Canis lupus familiaris: one gene and its partner. The protein of the gene in region 1 binds, or shares a complex with, the protein of each later gene. Links are inferred from orthologs where the notes say so. Each region holds a gene or a part of one and is shown on either strand. Other genes may lie near its edges.

Region 1 (9,985 bases):
ATAAATAAAATCTTTTAAAAATAAATAAATAAAAATTAAAAATACACTAAAAATACCTATACTCTTTAGCTTAATTATCACCTACTAAGAATTTACTCCAAAAAAATATTTTAAAAAATTCAACCACTCAAAAAAAAAAAAAAAAAAAAAATTCAACCACTCAAAAAGTATTAACACAGCAATTTAAAAGAGTTATGTGTAGGGCAGCACTGGTGGCTCCGCCTTCAGCCCAGGGTGTGATCCTGGAGACCCGGGATGGAGTCCCACATCCTGTTCCTGGCATGGAGCCTGCTTCTCCCTCTGCCTGTGTCTCTGCCTCTCTCTGTCTAATAAATAAATAAAATCTTAAAAAAAAAAAGTGATATGTAAATTGAATAAATATTTGAAAATGCACATTATAATTCAAAAGGGAAAAAAACATTATGAATGGATAGAAAGGAAGCGAAGACCCAAAACAAACTGTGTGGAGACAATGGGCTGAAGGGGGAAAAAAAATCTTACTTTAAATACGGCCATACAGGGATCCCTGGGTGGCGCAGCGGTTTAGCGCCTGCCTTTGGCCCAGGGCGTGATCCTGGAGACCCGGGATCGAATCCCACATCGGGCTCCCGGTGCATGGAGCCTGCTTCTCCCTCTGCCTATGTCTCTGCCTCTCTCTCTCTGTGTGTGACTACCATAAATAAATAAAAATTTAAAAAAATAAATAAATAAATACGGCCATACAAAAAAAAAAGGGGGGGGATAAATAAACAAATAAGTAAATAAATAAATAAATACGGCCATACATTTTAATGTCGACCTATTGAATAATAAAGTATAGGACTCTTAAGTTCCCTTTGAAATAGAAGTAACTCTTCCACCTCCAACTGATCTGCTTCATAAATTGTGATTTTTACCTGCTGGGTTTTCTTAAAGCTGGCTAACAATGCACATAGAAATTAAGGGGAAGAATTTACTGCATTTCAGACAAAGGGGAAAGACACAGGACTGGCTAATTGAAAAGAAGAGGTATCTTTAAAGAAAAGGCCTACCATACGTTGAGAAGAGAAACCAGACACAGGAGAGCGAGGCCTCTGGCTGAGCCCCATGTGAGCTGGAAGGCAGGCAAGCCTCCCACCGCATAGCTAGAAACCAGACATAAAGGATGGCACAGGCTTTCATCTGCAGAGCATGTCACACTTCTTGGACACGCTCTTACATAAATTTGCTCTTTAGACAGCAGGTTGGTCAGCAATGCAGATGTTTTAAGAATTAAGCTGTCAATAAAACTGGAAAACAACATTCTGAACTGTGATAAGTCAAAGGAAAAGATGGCAAAACACAGAAATAGAACAAGATCTGATGTGAGAGAGCAATGATAAAGCACATGAAGTGGTGGTGCCCCCAGAAGCGTGAAAACTGGTGAGCTAAACATCCAGCTCTGGGATCATTCACAGCAAACCCACAATCTAACACATCTGACTGGCTGAAATCAAGACGTATGTAGATCAAAAGGGCGCAGGGAAAAAAGCAAGAGAAAATAAAGGAATCCCTCATGGACACTAAAAAGTCAAGGAGTAACACGGGAAGGGAGAAAGTCCAAGAAAGGATTAAGTAGGAGCAGTCACAGCTCAATGAAAGAAACCACAAAATCACACTCTGTAAATCTGAGGTCAAATGAAAGCTAAATATGAAAAAGAACAGACAAGAAACCATGGAAAATAGCAGACCTACAGACCTACACAAAGACGTGTCTAACAGAGATAAGGATGTATGGATGAAGAGGAACGGAAGCAAAGGAAACAGCAACCAGGGGATCCCTGGATCCTGGTGGCTCAGTAGTTTAGTGCCTGCCTTTGGCCCAGGTCATGATCCTGGGGTCCCGGGATCGAGTCCCACATCAGGTTCCCTGCATGGAGCCTGCTTCTCCCCTCTGCCTGTGTCTCTGCCTCTCCTTCTGTGTGTCTCTCGGGAATAAATAAATAAACCCTTTAAAAAAAAAAAAAGAAAAAGAAAACAGCAACCAGCTTGGCAGTTTGATCACACTTTTTTTTTTCTTTTTTAAGATTTTACTTATTTATTTGAGAGACAGAGCAGTGAGAGAGAGAGAGTACATGAGTGGGGTGAGGGGCAGAGGGAGAAGCAAACTCACCACTGAGCAGGGAGCCCAATGTGGGGCTTGATCCCAGGACTCTGGGATCATGATCCAAGTCTAAGGCAAACGCTTCACTGACTAAGCCACCCAGGTGCCCAGTCATATTTTAAGTCAAAATAGAAGGGGACAGTGCTAGTAGTGAGTAGTTTGAGCATGAAAAGACAGGAGGACCCAGAAGGAAGAGAAAAACCACTAAGGCAACCTTTCGATAAGCTGGTGTTATCAACACAGCTGGCCAAAACTCTTTTTGAACCAACTCCTAACTTTCTCCTTTACAACTCTACAATTTACCAGGGTCAGAGAATGATTCTGCCTCTGATGGAAGAACAATGGGATTACTTTAGGGAAGACTTATGGATGCGTTTAGACTGTGACACAGTACTGGGAGTAGTAAGGATGCTTCCATAAAAAGAGCAGAAAGGGAGACAGAGCTAGGGCTGAGGAAAGCATCCTTCAGTGGCTCGGCAGCGACCTTAGGAGACAGCTATAAAGATCAGACGTTAGCTCCTAGGTGCTACTACAGGCGGGAAGGGACGGGTTTTCACTCACTTATCACTATTGGCTATCTTGCGGAACTCTCGAACAGTCATGGCTTTCTTCTGGATGTTGTACTGAGTGAAGAGGCCAGACTGCCCTGTCACTAGCTGCTGGATGGGGGCAGGAATGACCAGATCATCAATATCATCATAGGACGCTCGAGGTTTCCACTCCTTTGGAGGAACGACCTGTAGGGAACACAAGAAACAAAGAGATCAGAAACCTAGCAGGCCAGGTCCCAGCCCAGGTTGGGGATAGGCAGCTATTCAACCGAAAGGTCAATTTTACTATAAAGTGACTCTGATTTAACCAAGTATACCCAAACATAGCAAGTCACGCTGTTGTGCTAACCCTGATCCAATTCAGCCACCAATTGGCTGCCTCATTACAATGATCAAAATAAGTAATACTCATTCTAAGCTCAGTATCTTATCTGGACATCAAGACAAGAGCTGAGGGTTGATTCTCATAATCTAACAGAAGGTGCACATAAAGAACCAACTTGCTAACAGAGTGCTAGATGAGACTGAAATGGGAACAAGGTGTATGGTATAAGCCTCAGTGACAGGTACAAACACTAAAGCACACATCTCTGCCATGAGAATGGAAGCAGCACAGCAGCTGGCCCTGGGACACTGGCTCTTTACTTTGCTTAGGCTCTTTATTTCTCTTTAAAGACTCCGAGCAGCTCCCACCCTACCTAAAAGATGCTTGCTTCAGATGTTAACGAAAGGAATTAACTTACAAATAGGACAGTATACACTCAACACCCAGCCTGGCTTTTTGTGAAACTCAGTTCTTTCATCCACCTTTTAGGAAAAATTCCTGCTGACCTAAGGAACAACCCCACCCACCCTCACCTTGGCCAGCCCAGCCCGATGAGCTCCTTGGGATTCAATGTAGGCCATGTATCGACTGAAGTTCCGGAACTCCTCCATGGTTGGGTAAAACGTCATTATCCGAGCACTGGGATTCAGAGTTTCAGATTCAGAAGCCATCTTCCTTCTTTTTTGAGGTCACTTTGGTCAGACAGGAATCTGAAGAAATACATGAAGAGCATAAACTGTAGGGACACCTGGGTGGCTCAGTGGTTGAGTGTCTGCTTTCAGCTCAGAGTGTGATCCTGGATTCCCAGGGCTGAGTCCTGTATTGGGCTCCTTGCATGGAGCCTGCTTCTCCCTCTCCCTCTCTCGGTGTCTCTTGTGAATAAATAAATAAAATTTTTTTTTAAGAGCATAAACTGTAATTTGAATTAAATGCTGGGTATATCAGGGCAGATGGGTAATTGAGTGATGGATATTAAGGAGGCAGGGCACTTGTTGTAATGAGCACAGGGTGTTATAAACAAGTGATGAAATCACTAAATTCACACCTGAAACTAATATTTCACTGTCTATTAACTGAATGGAATTTTTAAAAACTTGATAAAAAAAAAACGCTTGGAATGTCAATGCTGAAACAACAAAGGATGTAGAAATCCTGAAGTTTTAAGACCTCACACCTTGAATCTGCCTCTAGATAGGTTACTTAAGTAAACAAAAACAGAGTGAGAATCCAATGTATCAAAATTGTAAGTATTCAAATCTCATTTAAATGGAGACACTATTTCAGCTAAAATCTGTTACTAGATTGTTGTACTTAACAATACTAAAGCTGCCCTGCCCTCTTTTATCTTTTCCAATTGCTCCCTTATCCACCTTTGATAACTGCTTCAGGATGTATTAAACAATGTATTAGATTAAAAAAAAAAAAACAAACTATGGGCTCCCTTTCAGGGCACAACCTAAAACAAGATTCTAGATTACTAAGGCAAGTTAACTTGGCCATAAGATTATAAAGTTTTAAGAGTTAAAAAAGCACTCTGATATTTGTATTTAAAACCCCTAAAATGAGATTGTTCTCTAAACCAAAACATCATTTCAGCAATACATAAGGTCAAGCTGGAGACTAGTTCAACTACACAGTACCCAGAATTCAAAGGACAAAATTTAAATGGGCAATAAACTGGCAATACAGGGTACACTTCAAACTGACCGGAAAAGGTGAAACACTGTGCTCCTAGATGAGGCCTTCGAACTAAGTGGGTGCATCCCCATTGCCTGATTAACACGATAGATGATTTCAAATGAGTAAGAACCAGGCACAAGATCTAAAAGAAGCCACTTGAGGAACAAACATTTCCCTCGACTCCTCCAGTCTGGGCCCCAAAGCCATGGCAGTTCAGCTCCCAGGGTTCCCTTGAGAGCTGGAGAGCTCAGAAGGAAACTACAGCACCTCCAACCTGCCAGCAACCTACTAACACACTGGGAAGCCAGGATGACACAAAACTGTCTAAGCCCCATTACCCACATCTCTCAAGCTTCCATTTCACCAAAAAATAAAGTGTTCTTGGCCAGGAGCTTTTCAGGCGCCTCCCCAAAACTTTACAGAACAGCTAGACTGTTAACCCCATTTTACATAGCAGGACTTTCCCCCCACAGTCCCCACAGTCCTGCAACTCATCCCCACTGCTTCTTCCATTACTCTGTGCTGCCTACTGTATAATTTCCACCTAGAAGCAGCCCTTTGCAAGGGGAGATCCAAGTGTGGAGGAACCTCAAGTTCGATCAATTTTAAAGGCTGTCTTTTTCAGAATTACAAAATCTTGCTTCAGCCTAATTTGATGAAAACATCCTAATCGTGTGAACACAGTGCTAGGCCTGGAACGGGGCTTCATCTGCCTCTGGACTTAGTCATCTTTGTAGCCTGGAACCTAGAACAATGCACGGCTCGGCGCAGACACTCCGTAACTGTTGAATAACTGATCCCCTCGCCCCCACTTCGCTCGCTCATTGCCTTTCTCCGACCCTAGGATTCCCTTCCCCCCACCTCTCCCCTGGGGGAAGCTCCGGTGCCCCGACTCTTTCATGTCCCCCATTCAGCAACAAAGCCTGGTGTGGTTCAAGAGCACCGGCTCCGGAACCCAAACAACTCTGGATTCAGATCCGGTCTCTGCCATTCGTTGGCTGTGTGACCTTGGCTGTGTGAGCTGCCCGAGTCTCAGTTTCCCCACCTGTAAAATGGGGATCCCGACCTCCTCGCCCAGCAGGGCTGCTCCGATGAACTCAGATGATGCAAGCGAAACGCTGAGCACTAGGCCCGGCACTTAAGAACTCAATAAAGGTCGCCGCTGCTAACACCCGCCTCTAACTGCCGCCCCGCCCCTCGAAGCTGACCCCACGGAACCCCCCCAGGGCAGCCCCCCGCTCCCGGGGGCCCCCCCACCTCACCGCGTCGAGGGCCAGCCCCTCCCGGCCCCGCCGCCTAGGCGAGTGAGGCCCGGCCGCAGGAAGAAGAAAATAAGGCCCAGGACACCCGCCTCCCTTCCCGACGCGCATTGGCCACAGGAGATTAGAAAGGACCAATCTCGGGATGCATTTCGGAGCCGCGGTCCGCATTGGACAAGGAGCACGCCTATCACTCGGCGCTGACGGCAAGCCCCCCGCCCCTCCCCCACCGGAGCTCACGGTCACAGGGACGGCTGCAACGCACGCAGAGCACTCGGAAGCCGTACGGTCCTTACCCGCCAGCCCTCCGCCCCTGCAGGGCCCGGGCCTGGCTCCCGCGGTCGCCGGCGGCCGCGCGCTCCGCTCCTCCAGCCGGCGGAGGACGGAGCTCCGCCTCCCCCGGAAAGTCGGCCCCTGCGCAGCCGCGCGGCCCTGACCAATGGGAGCCCGCTGGCGCTCGGCAAGCAGCCAATGGGAGCGCGCCTATGATCTGCTCCGCCAATGAGCGCCGGGTCGGGCTGTTGCCAGGAGGAAAAGCCGCGCCGCCCGGCTCTGCGGCCACTGAGCATCTTGGCTGAGCCGCGGGGCGGGCCAATCACAGGCGGCCATCCCCCCTCCCCACCCCCCATCCCCCCCACCCCCGCTCCCCGGGGTGGAAAGAGGCGAGTGCCTGGAAGTGGGACGCTCGGCGAGGGTCGGGGCCGCGGGATGCGCGTGGGATGTGACTAGCGAAGAGTCTAGGGGCCTCCCCAAGGTGGGGCCTCCCCAAGGTGGCAGTGCGCTGGGAGCCCTTGGGGGCCGCTTCCGAGATCTGATAGGGTGACCAACTTGGCCCTTTTTGCCCGAGACTGCCTTGGCTTTTCTTTTTTTCTTTTTCTTTTTCTTTTTCTTTTTTTTTTTAAGATTTATTTATTCATGAGAGACACAGAGAGAGAGGCAGAGGCACATGCAGAGGGAGAAGCAGGCTCCATGCAGGGAGCCCGACGTGGGACTCGATCCCGGGACCCCAGGATCACGCGCCCTGGGCCAGAGGCAGGTGCTCAACCACTGAACCACCCGGGGATCCCTGCCTTGGCTTTCAAAACTGGAAGGCCCGTGTCATGGGAAACCTCCCACTCGCCGGCAGAACCAGACATTTCCTGAAGGGGAGACAGCTCTGAAGGGGGAATGTCCTTAGGGTCATTAAGAGAAGAGTTGTTCAATGAGCGGGGATTTGGGGGTCATTAGGAGCAGCTCTTGGGGCGTGGGAGAAGGTCCTGGGAGTCATTACACGTACTTCTGGAAAGTTGAGGGAGTGTCTAGAAGTCATTAGGAACTTCCTAAGGGGCACTGAGGCGCCCTAAGGAGCCCCCAGATTATCGCGGATGGTGGGCCAGGAAGCCTACCGAACGCTCTGATAGGCCCAATAGAAAAGTAGAATAATCACAACCAGAATTATAAAAAAGTGGCCACAATTACCCATAGGTGAGCTATGATGCAGTGTCCTGTAAAGAGCTATGGAGTCAGATCTGCGTTCAAAATCCACCCCTCCTCTGAGCCTGGGTTTTCCCATCAGTAAAATGGAAAAGATAATACCTGCCTTGCGGGACTGTTGCAAAAAGGAAGGGTAATAAATGTTGGCCAAAAGGATGGTATTACCTAGAGTGGCGGAGGTAGAACAATCATGAGGCTGGGCACGTGCACCCAAAAAAACCCAAACCAAACCAAAAAAAAACAACAAAGCAGAGTTATATTGGGGGAAATTTTTTAAAAAGGAATGATCATTGATAGTTGTGTGGGCAATCAATAGTCTTTCACAACAAAGTTGTTCTCTCCAGACCTAGTAAGGAATTAGCTACTAGATTATACTGGGTAGCTCACAAAATTGTTAAGAGCCTGAAGAATCTAACCTGGAAGGTTCTTAATGAGGAAAACAACCCCAAATCATGCCAAAGAATTCATCGGCAGGTCTCCTTGCTGCTGCCACGAAATAAGATGCTGCAGAGGGCCTTCCCAGCTCCCCTGACCTGGGCATGGATACAGTTGCTAGTGCTGCTGTCACTGCCAACTACTTTGTGAATGTGATCTTGCTACATTTCCCAATGTTGCCAAAGAGGAGTTTCCAAGAGTCACTGCTACTTTGTATCACCAGTTTCTTGTTGGTGTGTGCATATGGTAGTTGAAGCCTGGCTCTCTGGAAGTCCTCCCATTTCCCTGACCAGTTTATCTCAGTCAACTTTTTAAGCTCATCTTTACTGTCCCACCTCTTAATGTTGATATTTACAGCAAAACTAATCATGGCAAAAGAAGCCAAAAGTGGGGTTACCTTTGAGTGGGGGACAGGGAATGATGGGGGAGTAGCATAAAGAATGCTTCCAAAAGGAAAGAAAGTTTCTGGGGCGTTAAGGTGTTAGTAATATCAGGGGAATTTTTTGGGTTTGAGGTGGGGGGTTTTAAATTTGGGGGGGGAGGGGGCAGCCCAGGTGGCTCAGCTGTTTAGCTCCACCTTCAGCCCAGGGCCTGATCCTAGAGACTCAGGATGGAGTCCCGTGTCAGGCTCCCTGTATGGAGACTGCTTCTCCCTCTGCCTGTGTCTCTGCCTCTTTCTCTCTCTCTGTGTGTCTCTCATGAATAAATAAATAAAATATTTTTTTAAAAAGTAAAATAAAGAGGGAGGGAGGGAGGGGAAAAAGAAAAAAGAAAAAAAAAAAAAAGTAAAATAAAGGGATCCCTGGGTGGCGCCGCGGTTTAGCGCCTGCCTTTGGCCCAGGGCGTGATCCTGGAGACCCGGGATCGAGTCCCACATTGGGCTCCCTGCATGGAGCCTGCTTCTCCCTCTGCCTGTGTCTCTGCCTCTCTCTCTCTCTCTCTCTCTCTGTGTGTGACTATCATGAATAAATAAATAAAATCTTTAAAAAAAAAAAAGTAAAATAAAAAAAAGTAAAATAAAAATAAAAAATAATTTTTTTGGTTTTGGTTTTGTTTTAGTAGCATTCTAAAGCAGTTTCTTGATCTGGATGGTGGTTATTACACTGGTATGTTCATATTTTAAATTTTCTTTGAGCTGTACACTTATAAGTTGTCCATAACATTTAATGTACACGATACCTTAATTTTTTTGATACCTTAATTTTTTAAAAGATTTATTTATTTCCACGAATGGGTGACGGGCACTGAGGGGGGCACTTGACGGGATGAGCACTGGGTATTATTCTGTATGTTGGCAAATTGAACACCAATAAAAAATAAATTTATTATTATATAAATAAATAAATAAATAAATAAATAAATAAATAAATAAATAAATAAATAAATATTTCCTTCCAAGAAGAAAAAAAAAAGATTTATTTATTTCCTGTAAGGGAGAGGGGTAGTTGGAGAGGGAGTGAGAGTCCCAGGCAAACTCCTCACTGAGCGCAGAGCCCCAACTCCGGCTTGATTCCACGACCCCAAGATCACGACCTGTGCTGAAACCAAGATTCAGACACATAACCGACTGAGCCACCCAGATGCCCCATGACACCTTTTTTTTTTTTTTTTTTTCTTTTTAATTCATGATAGACACAGAGAGAGAGAGAGAGGTAGAGAGACAGGCAGAGGGAGAAGCAGGCTCCATGCTGGGAGCCCGAGGCGGGACTGGATCCCAGGACTCCAGGATCATGCCCTGGGCCAAAGGCAGGCGCTAAACCTCTGAGCCACCCAGGGATCCCCTACCTTAATGTTTTTAATTACAAACTTAATCTTTAATTAAAAAAAAACTAAAGAACTGAAAATATGTTTCTGTGCTTGTGGCTCTATGTCTCTTGCCCTCTTCTCTCATTCTACAAGCTCTCCTTAGATGTTTCTGATTTCACAAGTCACTAGCAGTATGACCTGGGGCCAGTTACTTAATTTCTCTAATCCTCAATGATAACTAAAATTGGAACAGTACTTCTCTTTCTTGGTTGTGAGAGCTGAACAAGATAATGCAGGTAAAGTACTTAGAAGTCAAACTGGCACATATTGAGTGCTCCGTAAATGTTAGCTGTGGAATGGATGGTGGTGGTGGTGGTGGTGGTAATACAAAGCA
Region 2 (9,162 bases), on another chromosome or scaffold:
ATGGTTTATTCTGTTCAAGTGAACAATCTTAATGCCGGGGGTGGGGGGGTGGAGGAAGCCAGCCTACACAGCTAAGACTCTCCACAAAACCAAACACACTGGGATCACACCAAAGGATACAGGGGTAAAGTGGCAGTCTGTGGCATGCTTAAAGAACCTAAGAACAAGAAAGCGGGAACTCACTAGAAAACCAACGTAATTTTTCCCTAATCTGCTGATACTAGGCAAGGTGGGATTTAAACCCTAAAAACCTGGGCTCGCAGTCAGGATAGGCTGCATGCAGACCATAGAACCATCATCACCTGTTAACTGAAGGGACCTCGGAAGTCTAAGATTCTGTCCGATAATAAACGAAGGCACTTGATTAAAGCACCTTTTAAGTGGACCTATAGCACGTGTACGTTAGGTGGTCTTGGAGGAAGATCAGAACCTCTGGATGCAATTCAGTGGAGAGGCGGACAGGTCCTCCCCCCCACCCCCCCAGGATGCCTCACGACGGACAGGCATGAAGGGGTCAAATTTAGAATGGGAGCACAGTTGCCTGGGCGAATGGAGACCCAACTAGGTGTAGTCTGCCGAAGTAAGAAATTCACAGCGATAGTACAAAGTGAGCACCTCTTTCTGTAGACTAGATAGGTGGCCCTGAAAAGGGCCTTTGGTTGCAAACTGGGATTTCCTGGAGCTGAACTCACAACTCAGCCGCCGAAGCCGTAGAGGGTGCGGCCCTGGCGCTTGAGCGCGTAGACCACGTCCATGGCCGTGACCGTCTTGCGCTTGGCGTGCTCCGTGTAGGTGACGGCGTCCCGGATCACGTTCTCCAGGAACACCTTGAGCACCCCGCGGGTCTCCTCGTAGATGAGGCCCGAGATGCGCTTGACGCCGCCGCGCCGGGCCAGCCGCCGGATGGCGGGCTTGGTGATGCCCTGGATGTTGTCGCGCAGCACCTTGCGGTGGCGCTTGGCGCCGCCCTTGCCCAGCCCCTTCCCGCCCTTGCCGCGACCAGACATGACCACACCAGAACCTCCCGAGCCTGCACGGCACTACCGGCTGCCGCCACGCCGCACTTTTATAACAATGTGACGGACCTGTTTGAAAACCGCAAGCGCAGGGGCGGATCCACACTCCGTTCCCGCCCATCGCCCTTCTAGCCTTTGCTCAGACTGTGCAGACCCGGAAGGCCGGGCGCCCCAAGCGGAGTCTGTGCCGGGGGAAGGGGATTCCGTAAATCCTCTCGAGTATGTGATCCGTGCAATGGCCTTGCAGCACTTGCAGCCTCTATGCCGGCCACCCGCTATGCCGGGCACCAATGCATACGCTTTCCACAAAGACCTCGTCCTTCACATTTCCCAAACAAGGGCAGAAATATTTAGATCCTCCTCGCTGTTGTCCCTAGGAGAGGTTTTCAATAAAATTTGAAGCTAATCCTATCTGTATTGCTAAGATTCTGTTCGTGTTATCGACCGATGGGTGTCCGGTCCCTACGGAGGGCGGCTGGCTGGGATGCAGGCTGTCCGGTCCCTGCGGAGGGAACGGACAGAATCGCCTTAAACATTTCAAAGTCAAGTCAGGTTCCACACTGAAGGCTGCGCTGAGCATATGCCACAGTGAGGAGAGCCTGGTTCTGCTGTGAGTCTCCACTCTGCGACTTCAGTGTATACTTAGTTATGCACAGCTTACAGGTAGCGCGGTGTCCGCCTCCACGTTCTGGTGCTCCGGCCTTTGGCATGACCTAGAACGCGGCTCTGGACACAGCCTGCCGCCGTGCTACCTACAGGACCTCGGGCGGGCTATACTCGCTTCTTTTCCTTTCCAAATGTATAAGAAAGTCTAAGTCATAGAGCATTGAATTTTCAAAGGGAAAACCCATGTAAAGCGTTTACTATCCGCAAATATGCACTCACAAAATGATTATGATATATTATTGTGGATGTTTCTCTGCTCCTTCACTCACTATTCGCTCCTCGGAATAATGAGCCTAACAGAGCATCCTAGTTTCCTACAACTTTCTTTCCAGAACTCCTTAAAAATAATAAGCACTGAAAGATTGAATTCAGCACTAATCCGTTTGTGGAGTTCTAGTTGACTTTGTGGGGATTTGGCTTCTCCCCAAGGGTCTGTGAGGAGGACATAGTTCATTAAAGCTGATTTCTGAGTTTGTGGGCGGTGCATGGGAAAAATGCCCGACTTGTGTTCTTACTCTCTGATACAATGACAGGATTTAAGACATCTAGGAACTTGTATAGAACATAAGTCCATCTTTATCTGTACTATCCCTCAATTGAAGCTTAGCATTTCTTCCATTTACGAATATAGGCAGCAAACTTCGATGGGCGGGACCTGTCCTGTGTGCATGTCACCTAAACTGAAGCTCTCAGTGTTTTCAAGACCATTTAGACACTTTATTCCTTCTACACTGTGTTCATTCTTGCTCACAAGAGCTATCTTGTGACTCTAACGGATTAATAAAAAAACACATCTGTTAGGATGCCTAAGTGGTTGAGCATCTGCCTTTGGCTCATGGCCTGATGCCTGGGTCCTGGGATCTAGTCCCACATTGGGTTCCCGGCAGGGAGCCTGCTTCTCCCTCTGAATATGTATCTGCCTCTCTCTGTGTGTCTTTCACAAATAAATAAATAAAATCTTTAAAAAGAAACCACACACATCTGTTAACACTTTACAGTTTGGGGATTTGATAAAGGTATTGTAATATTAATTCTTTCCCATTATAATCCAATGTATATTCTCTTAAACTCTTAAAAACATTGTCCTGGCAAGGGGCCCATAAGCCTTATCAGATATATAAAGAAGCCCTTGACATGAACAAAGAAGGGTCAAAGGGATCTTCAGAGCCTTGAAAGACTCTGGGTTTTGAAAATGTGCACAGAGAAGCATTAGGAAATGACATGAATGTTGGCATGAAATGAATACGTAATAGTAACCTGATGGAGGTGTGTAAGGGTAAATGGCAATAATTTTCTCCTCTTAGCAACAGGAAAGAGATTATAGGGAGAGTGTAGTACAGTGGAGACAGGTGCAAAGGCAAATACCCACCAAGTGCCCAGAAATACAAGTTTGATATTTAGGCAAAAGGACCAATTTGAAGAGACAGTCTTCGAAGTTACTCACATTGACGTGACTCATAAGCCCATCCATGAAGGTGATAGGGGTAGTACCTTGGAGAGACTCCCTACACTGACATGTCCAAGAAACAGCTCTTCCTTGGTGGCACTGCGTCTCTTTGGGTATAATCTTGACTCTCCTATTTCTTGTATGGACTAAATACTGTCACAGCCTTATGACTCAATGTCTCTGCAATTCCTGGAGTATTAATTATCAAAGAATAATTATCAGATTATCAAAGAATAATCTTCAAATGAGTTTCAAAACCAACTATAATGAATCAAAACCACTTTTTTTCAAAACCACTTTAAAAGAATTAAGAATATGTAAGCTCTATAAAAAGTGAATACACAAAGTAAAAATTATTTATACTAAGCTGATATCTCACCCCTCTTTATCATGTTAATATTTAACCTATAGTGACATTAATTTTCATGTTTCACTTGGATTGACTGAAAGGAATAATCAGTCATTTCTTGATTTTGAGGGGATAATAAAGGAAAGTGAAACCTTCCCCCTCTTGAGCTTTGCTGTGTTTCCTTCTTTCACTGTCATAGTGGAACACAGATTGGTTCATGTTTCAAAATAAATATAATATGTTAAAGAGAAAAAAGGAATTTGTGAAGAAAATCACATTAAATCACTTCCTACCATAAACCTATTTCCCATTCAACAGTAAGCATAAGTTGTAATGTGATGCCTTCCATAAATGAAAAATATACTAGTGAATATAAAACACACTTTTAAAAAAGGTCCCCCTCTCAAGGGAATGCCATAAGTGTGTGCATGTCTGTGTGTGTTGTGCATGTATATAATCTTTGTTACTTTAATACCTTCCAAATTTCTCTTTCTCAAGAATGGCAGATTTCTATACCCAAACTTGTACACATTTTAGTAACTGATCTCTACCAAGAAAATCAATATAAGATAATATTTTCAACTAATAAAGGTACCCAACTTCTCTTATGCCACTTCTAAATCTCCTATCATCATCTAAAACAAACATAAGCCAAACAACCAGGTCAGCAGCATCATACTTGCTGCATTTCCCATTTTTCTAGACAAATATTGAATGCAGAAACCCCAAACTAACTCTGCAAATTGTTACTAGAAGCTATGATAAAGGTTTTACAGACAAAATAATGACCGTTCTTGTCAGAATTAGCAGTTCTTCCAAGAATCCTTTACTATCATTCTTGTAGAGAAATGGGGAGAGAGCCTGTGTTATTTCCCTTCATATGAAACAGGTTTTCTGGCTAAATCTCGATGAGAACTAAGCAGCTGTTGAACATATGAGAAGCCAAGAATGTATAGAATAACCCTAGAGAGCAAGTTATTGAAAGCACAAAGCGAAGAATTTATATTTTAAAGGAAAATCAAGAAGTTGTCTCTCTGACCTGTGAATCTCTCAGGGTGTCAGGGGCTTTTGAAAAGAGCTGAAACCCAGATGATGAAAACTGGAAGAAGAAAACACGAAGATGTCAAAGCATGAGGGGTCCCGCTTCGCTATAGAGTGTAATCAGCGTGATTCCTCCCCAGGAAATTTTAATTTTTTTGCTTTCCCCAACTGTAACAAACACAATTCCGGGACAGAGCTGACACCAGGCTGCTGTCAAGTTGGAGGACTGAGCTCGGAGCCAATCAGCGCGCGGCGTCCTTGTTGTATATATACACACGCACACACGCACGCCGAACCAAGCAGCTCAACTCCGAGACTCGATTAATATTATTTTTTCCTTTCATCTTCAGGAACCAAAACCCACTATGTCCGAGACCGCTCCTGCCGCGCCTCCAGCCCCGGCCCCCGCGGAGAAGACGCCGGTGAAGAAGAAGGCCCGCAAGTCCGCCGGCGCAGCCAAGCGCAAGGCGTCCGGGCCCCCGGTGTCCGAGCTCATCACCAAGGCGGTGGCCGCGTCCAAGGAGCGCAACGGCCTCTCCTTGGCCGCGCTCAAGAAGGCGCTGGCGGCCGCCGGCTACGACGTGGAGAAGAACAACAGCCGCATCAAGCTGGGCCTCAAGAGCCTGGTGAGCAAGGGGACCCTGGTGCAGACCAAGGGCACCGGCGCCTCGGGCTCCTTCAAGCTCAACAAGAAGGCGGCCTCCGGGGAGGCCAAGCCCAAGGCCAAGAAGGCGGGCGCGGCCAAGCCCAAGCGGGCGGCGGGGACGGCCAAGAAGCCCAAGAAGGCAGCGGGGACCGGCACCCCCAAGAAGAGCGCCAAGAAGACTCCGAAGAAGGCTAAGAAGCCCGCCGCGGCCACCGTCGCCAAGAAGGTGGCCAAGAGCCCCAAGAAGGCGAAGGCGGCCAAGCCCAAGAAGGCGGCCAAGAGTCCGGCCAAGACCAAAGCCCCGAAGCCCAAGGCAGCCAAGCCCAAGGCGGCCAAACCCAAGAAAGTGGCCGCCAAGAAGAAATAAGAATACAGAGTAGTTTAGGATCTTTTTAAAGGCTCTTTTCAGAGCCACCCAAACCTCTGAAAAGAGCTGCGGCACTCTGCGGGGAAGGGGGCGTGGCGGGAGGGGAGACTGGCGAGCCCGGAGCGGCACCTACAGGGGCGCCTGTTAAGTGCACACGGGCCTGGGGAGATTTCAAATGGGACAATGATTTCTCCTCTAGTCTGGTAAGTGCGCTGGTTCAACCTAAATTGGCCCGTAGTCCACACGGCGCAATAGGACTAATATACATAGGGGAGAAGTTACTTGCAAAACGAACTTTGAAACCGATTTGCCACTTAATAGAAAGTTCTCCAGCCACCGGGGATCTTTATACTGTATTGGTAGAAAACTATGAAGTATCTCGATGGTCTTTCCATTATCTTAATCATGGAATTGCGCCATCTCCTCAACAAGCACTTGCCCACCAGCTCCAATACCTAGGACGTCAGTTTGGCCACCAGTGGCCACCAGGCTTCCGCTGCGCAACACCCATCCTAGTGGAGGAAGTTTTCTAACAAAAGCTGTCCACACACACTTCTCCGTTACACTACCTCAAAGTTAAAATACATATTGGCGTTGAAGAAGACTTTATAGTAACCTTTGGTAGCCAAGTCTAGACCTTCTGATTGGGTCGAAGCACAGTAACGAGGCAGCCAATGAAACGCTAGAATTGCAAGTACCTTTTACATTCGTATTTGTGACGACACAGTAAAATTAATCCAATCGTAAATGATCTTACTAACCTCATTCGAATGCCTCCTCTATAAATAAACGGGGTCTTACGGTGGCTTATATTTTCCTCCCGCTTTACTGAACGTGTGGTATTCAAGGTCACTATGCCAGAACCCACCAAGTCCGCGCCGGCCCCGAAGAAGGGCTCCAAGAAGGCGGTGACCAAGGCGCAGAAGAAGGACGGCAAGAAGCGCAAGCGCAGCCGCAAGGAGAGCTACTCGGTGTACGTGTACAAGGTGCTGAAGCAGGTGCACCCCGACACGGGCATCTCGTCCAAGGCCATGGGCATCATGAACTCGTTCGTCAACGACATCTTCGAGCGCATCGCGGGCGAGGCGTCGCGCCTGGCGCATTACAACAAGCGCTCGACCATCACGTCCAGGGAGATCCAGACGGCCGTGCGCCTGCTGCTGCCCGGGGAGCTGGCCAAGCACGCCGTGTCCGAGGGCACCAAGGCCGTCACCAAGTACACCAGCTCCAAGTAAACGTGCCAAGTAAGCGTCTCCTTCCCAACCCCAAAGGCTCTTTTCAGAGCCACGCATGCTTTCAACAAATGAGCTATAATGCTTTCTAAAAACTATTCTCAAATGCACCCTAATCAAGTTTACTCTAAGATCGATACATCGCTACGGCTCTATAATTTTCTCTTAGGATTGCGTAGCAAGGATGCCACAATTCCCGGTCGATAACCATACCCATCATAAATTGAGCGCTCGCTATGCCCAAAACCGGTTCTGTACAACCATTATTCCTTAGTTTCACAACACTAAACCTCAATTTTAAATGAAAATGCCATTTCAAGTGTACAGCTCTCCTTCCTGTGCGCAGGCTCCAAATTCATCGTGACATTCAAGGACTTGGGTAAGAACGGTTTCCCCAGAGCACAAAGCATGCTGTAAAAACTGTTTTGCTCAGAGCTTTTCTTTTCCTTTTCAGCATATAGATATGCAATAATGAAAACGAGCTTAAGACAACATGAGTTTTCATGGAAATCTTACACAGGCTTTTCTGGCTTGCTAGCTTTGCAATAATGCCCATTTCTGCTGGTGGGGGAGGTAGGGTGGGGATCAGGGAGGAGGAGTCTGTGCTGTATCCTAAAGGCGCAGACAGACAGGAAAGGGAACCTGTCCTGACTTGGAAGGGCTTTCAAATCCTGTCAGCTACTATAGCTTCTCTCCTACAAAGTCCTATTGCATTGCCGGTCTTCTTCCAGCATCCTTAGCTGGGAAGACCCCAGGGTCACAAGAGAGAAGCCCACTACTCAATCCCATAAAGTGTCTGACTGGAGAGGCAAAAGTTACCCCAGGACTGAGGCCCCCTTTCCTCCCCTGGCCCCTTGCCCCGTGTCCCTGAGAGGCGAGGACTGAGAGGAGGTAGAAAGGGAAAGAAAGCCCTTCCCGGGAGGATGTGGCTTCTGCTGCACAAGGTCAGATGGCATAAAGGGTTTCTGCTGCTGCTGGGAATGGATTATTGTGGGGAAAAGAAATCTGGGGGAAAAAGCTGGGGAGCTGGGAGGAACTGGCCAGGGGGTAAGCAGTCAACAGTTGAGAGTTCACCCAAGAAAACGGATGAGATTATCTTTCCAGGTGTAGCTGACACACTCACCGGTTCCATCCTCAGGGTAGAAGGATGAACTAGAAATGAGCACACGACCAGACAGCACATGGGCACCCCCACACACCCACTCGCCCAGAAGATGGCAACAGTGTGTGCTCACCCTCCGTGCTGAGCAAGGTAGATTGTGCCACCCACAATTCCGACCACCACTCACTTGCTTCTGGCACTGACATCACAGGGATTCGGAATACCCAGGCTGAGGATTAACTCTGAGATCTCCCAAGCTGGCTTTGTACCCCTGAGCACCCGCTCAAGGCAAATACAAATCCTCTCTGAAGGAATAAGCTTCATTTTTGGTCTCAGCAAATCCTCCACACATAAGATAGCAAAGAAAATGAAAGAGCAGCTTCACAACCAAAATCAACACAGGATTCAACAAGACAATGTAACCAACAAGAAGAGAAGCACACAGTGGAAACAAAAGGAGTAAAAAGAAAATGAACAGATACAAACTTCAAGTTGCTAACTTGAATATCTTTAAAAAGGAAAAGGAAAACACTAAGTGAAATATGCTGAGGGATTAAGAATACAAAGAATTTTCCAAAAAGAGTCGAAAGAACCAAATACGACTTCCAGAAATGAAGGTGTGGATATACACGTTAATTTACATTAATCATATGAAAATTAAAATTAAAGGCTTGCTAAATGGACCAAAAAAATCAATAGGCTCCAGATGAAGAATTTTCATGAATTCTGTAAGCAGACCTTATTTATCCAAAATGCAGGGAGAGAAATGTAAAAGTGAGTTTAAGAGATCTGGAATTAGTAGTAAAATTGTCTGCCATGTATCTAATCATGGCACCACAAGAACAACCAGAGAGATTGATGCTGGTGTGAGCTTCCAATGATCATGGCTGAGAATTTTTCAGAGTTAATGGATTACTCATGTAACTCAAAATCAATAAAATAGGGTAAAACTCATACACCAAAACGGACGTCACTCTGTCACACTGTGAACCAAACCCCATAAATTCTCCCAACAAATGTAAAGCTAGTTTTCTAATCTGTTCTGCTAGATGGCAATAGACTGAAGCACTGTTATAAATTCCTGAGAGTGGGAGGATAATTGGCAAATAGATTATTTACATGCACTTGATATCTATCTGATTACCAAATTTTGCAAAACCTAATCAATATGTGATGATTTAATGGACTGTTACATATAGTACTATCATTAGCAGACCAGAAACTTTGATATTTTTTCCAATAACTATTTCTGTAACTATTTTTATCATGGTATTGTGTTAGTTAATGTCACACGCT

Evidence for each region.
Region 2: the proteins of KDM4A (region 1) and histone H1.4-like are in contact, whole or in part, in a crystal structure (PDB 6H8P), measured with the Homo sapiens proteins. The link is inferred for Canis lupus familiaris from reciprocal best matches to the Homo sapiens genes KDM4A and H1-4. Residues at the interface, in NP_055478.2 of Homo sapiens: Ile71, Asn86, Ala134, Asp135, Asn137, Thr167, Ile168, Glu169, Gly170, Val171, Tyr175, Tyr177, Glu190, Asp191, Ser196, His240, Lys241, Ser288, Thr289, Asn290, Asp311, Met312, Val313; in NP_005312.1 of Homo sapiens: Ala24, Arg25, Lys26, Ser27, Ala28, Gly29.

What each region holds. Positions count from the first base shown.
Region 1 is NC_049236.1:16,661,564-16,671,548, forward strand, and holds the start of KDM4A (lysine-specific demethylase 4A), read right to left. Parts: upstream 6,355-9,985; 5' UTR 6,234-6,354; intron 6,079-6,233; exon of another isoform or gene 5,936-6,078; intron 5,881-5,935; exon of another isoform or gene 5,724-5,880; intron 3,709-5,723; 5' UTR 3,670-3,708; coding exon 3,532-3,669; intron 2,860-3,531; coding exon 2,684-2,859; intron 1-2,683. UniProt on the Homo sapiens protein: Histone demethylase that specifically demethylates 'Lys-9' and 'Lys-36' residues of histone H3, thereby playing a central role in histone code. Does not demethylate histone H3 'Lys-4', H3 'Lys-27' nor H4 'Lys-20'.
Region 2 is NC_049256.1:25,568,996-25,578,157, forward strand, and holds histone H1.4-like, read left to right. Parts: upstream 1-4,827; 5' UTR 4,828-4,884; coding exon 4,885-5,532; 3' UTR 5,533-6,342; downstream 6,343-9,162. Other genes in the region: H4C4 (H4 clustered histone 4), read right to left, coding at 696-1,007; histone H2B type 1-M, read left to right, coding at 6,387-6,767. UniProt on the Homo sapiens protein: Histone H1 protein binds to linker DNA between nucleosomes forming the macromolecular structure known as the chromatin fiber. Histones H1 are necessary for the condensation of nucleosome chains into higher-order structured fibers.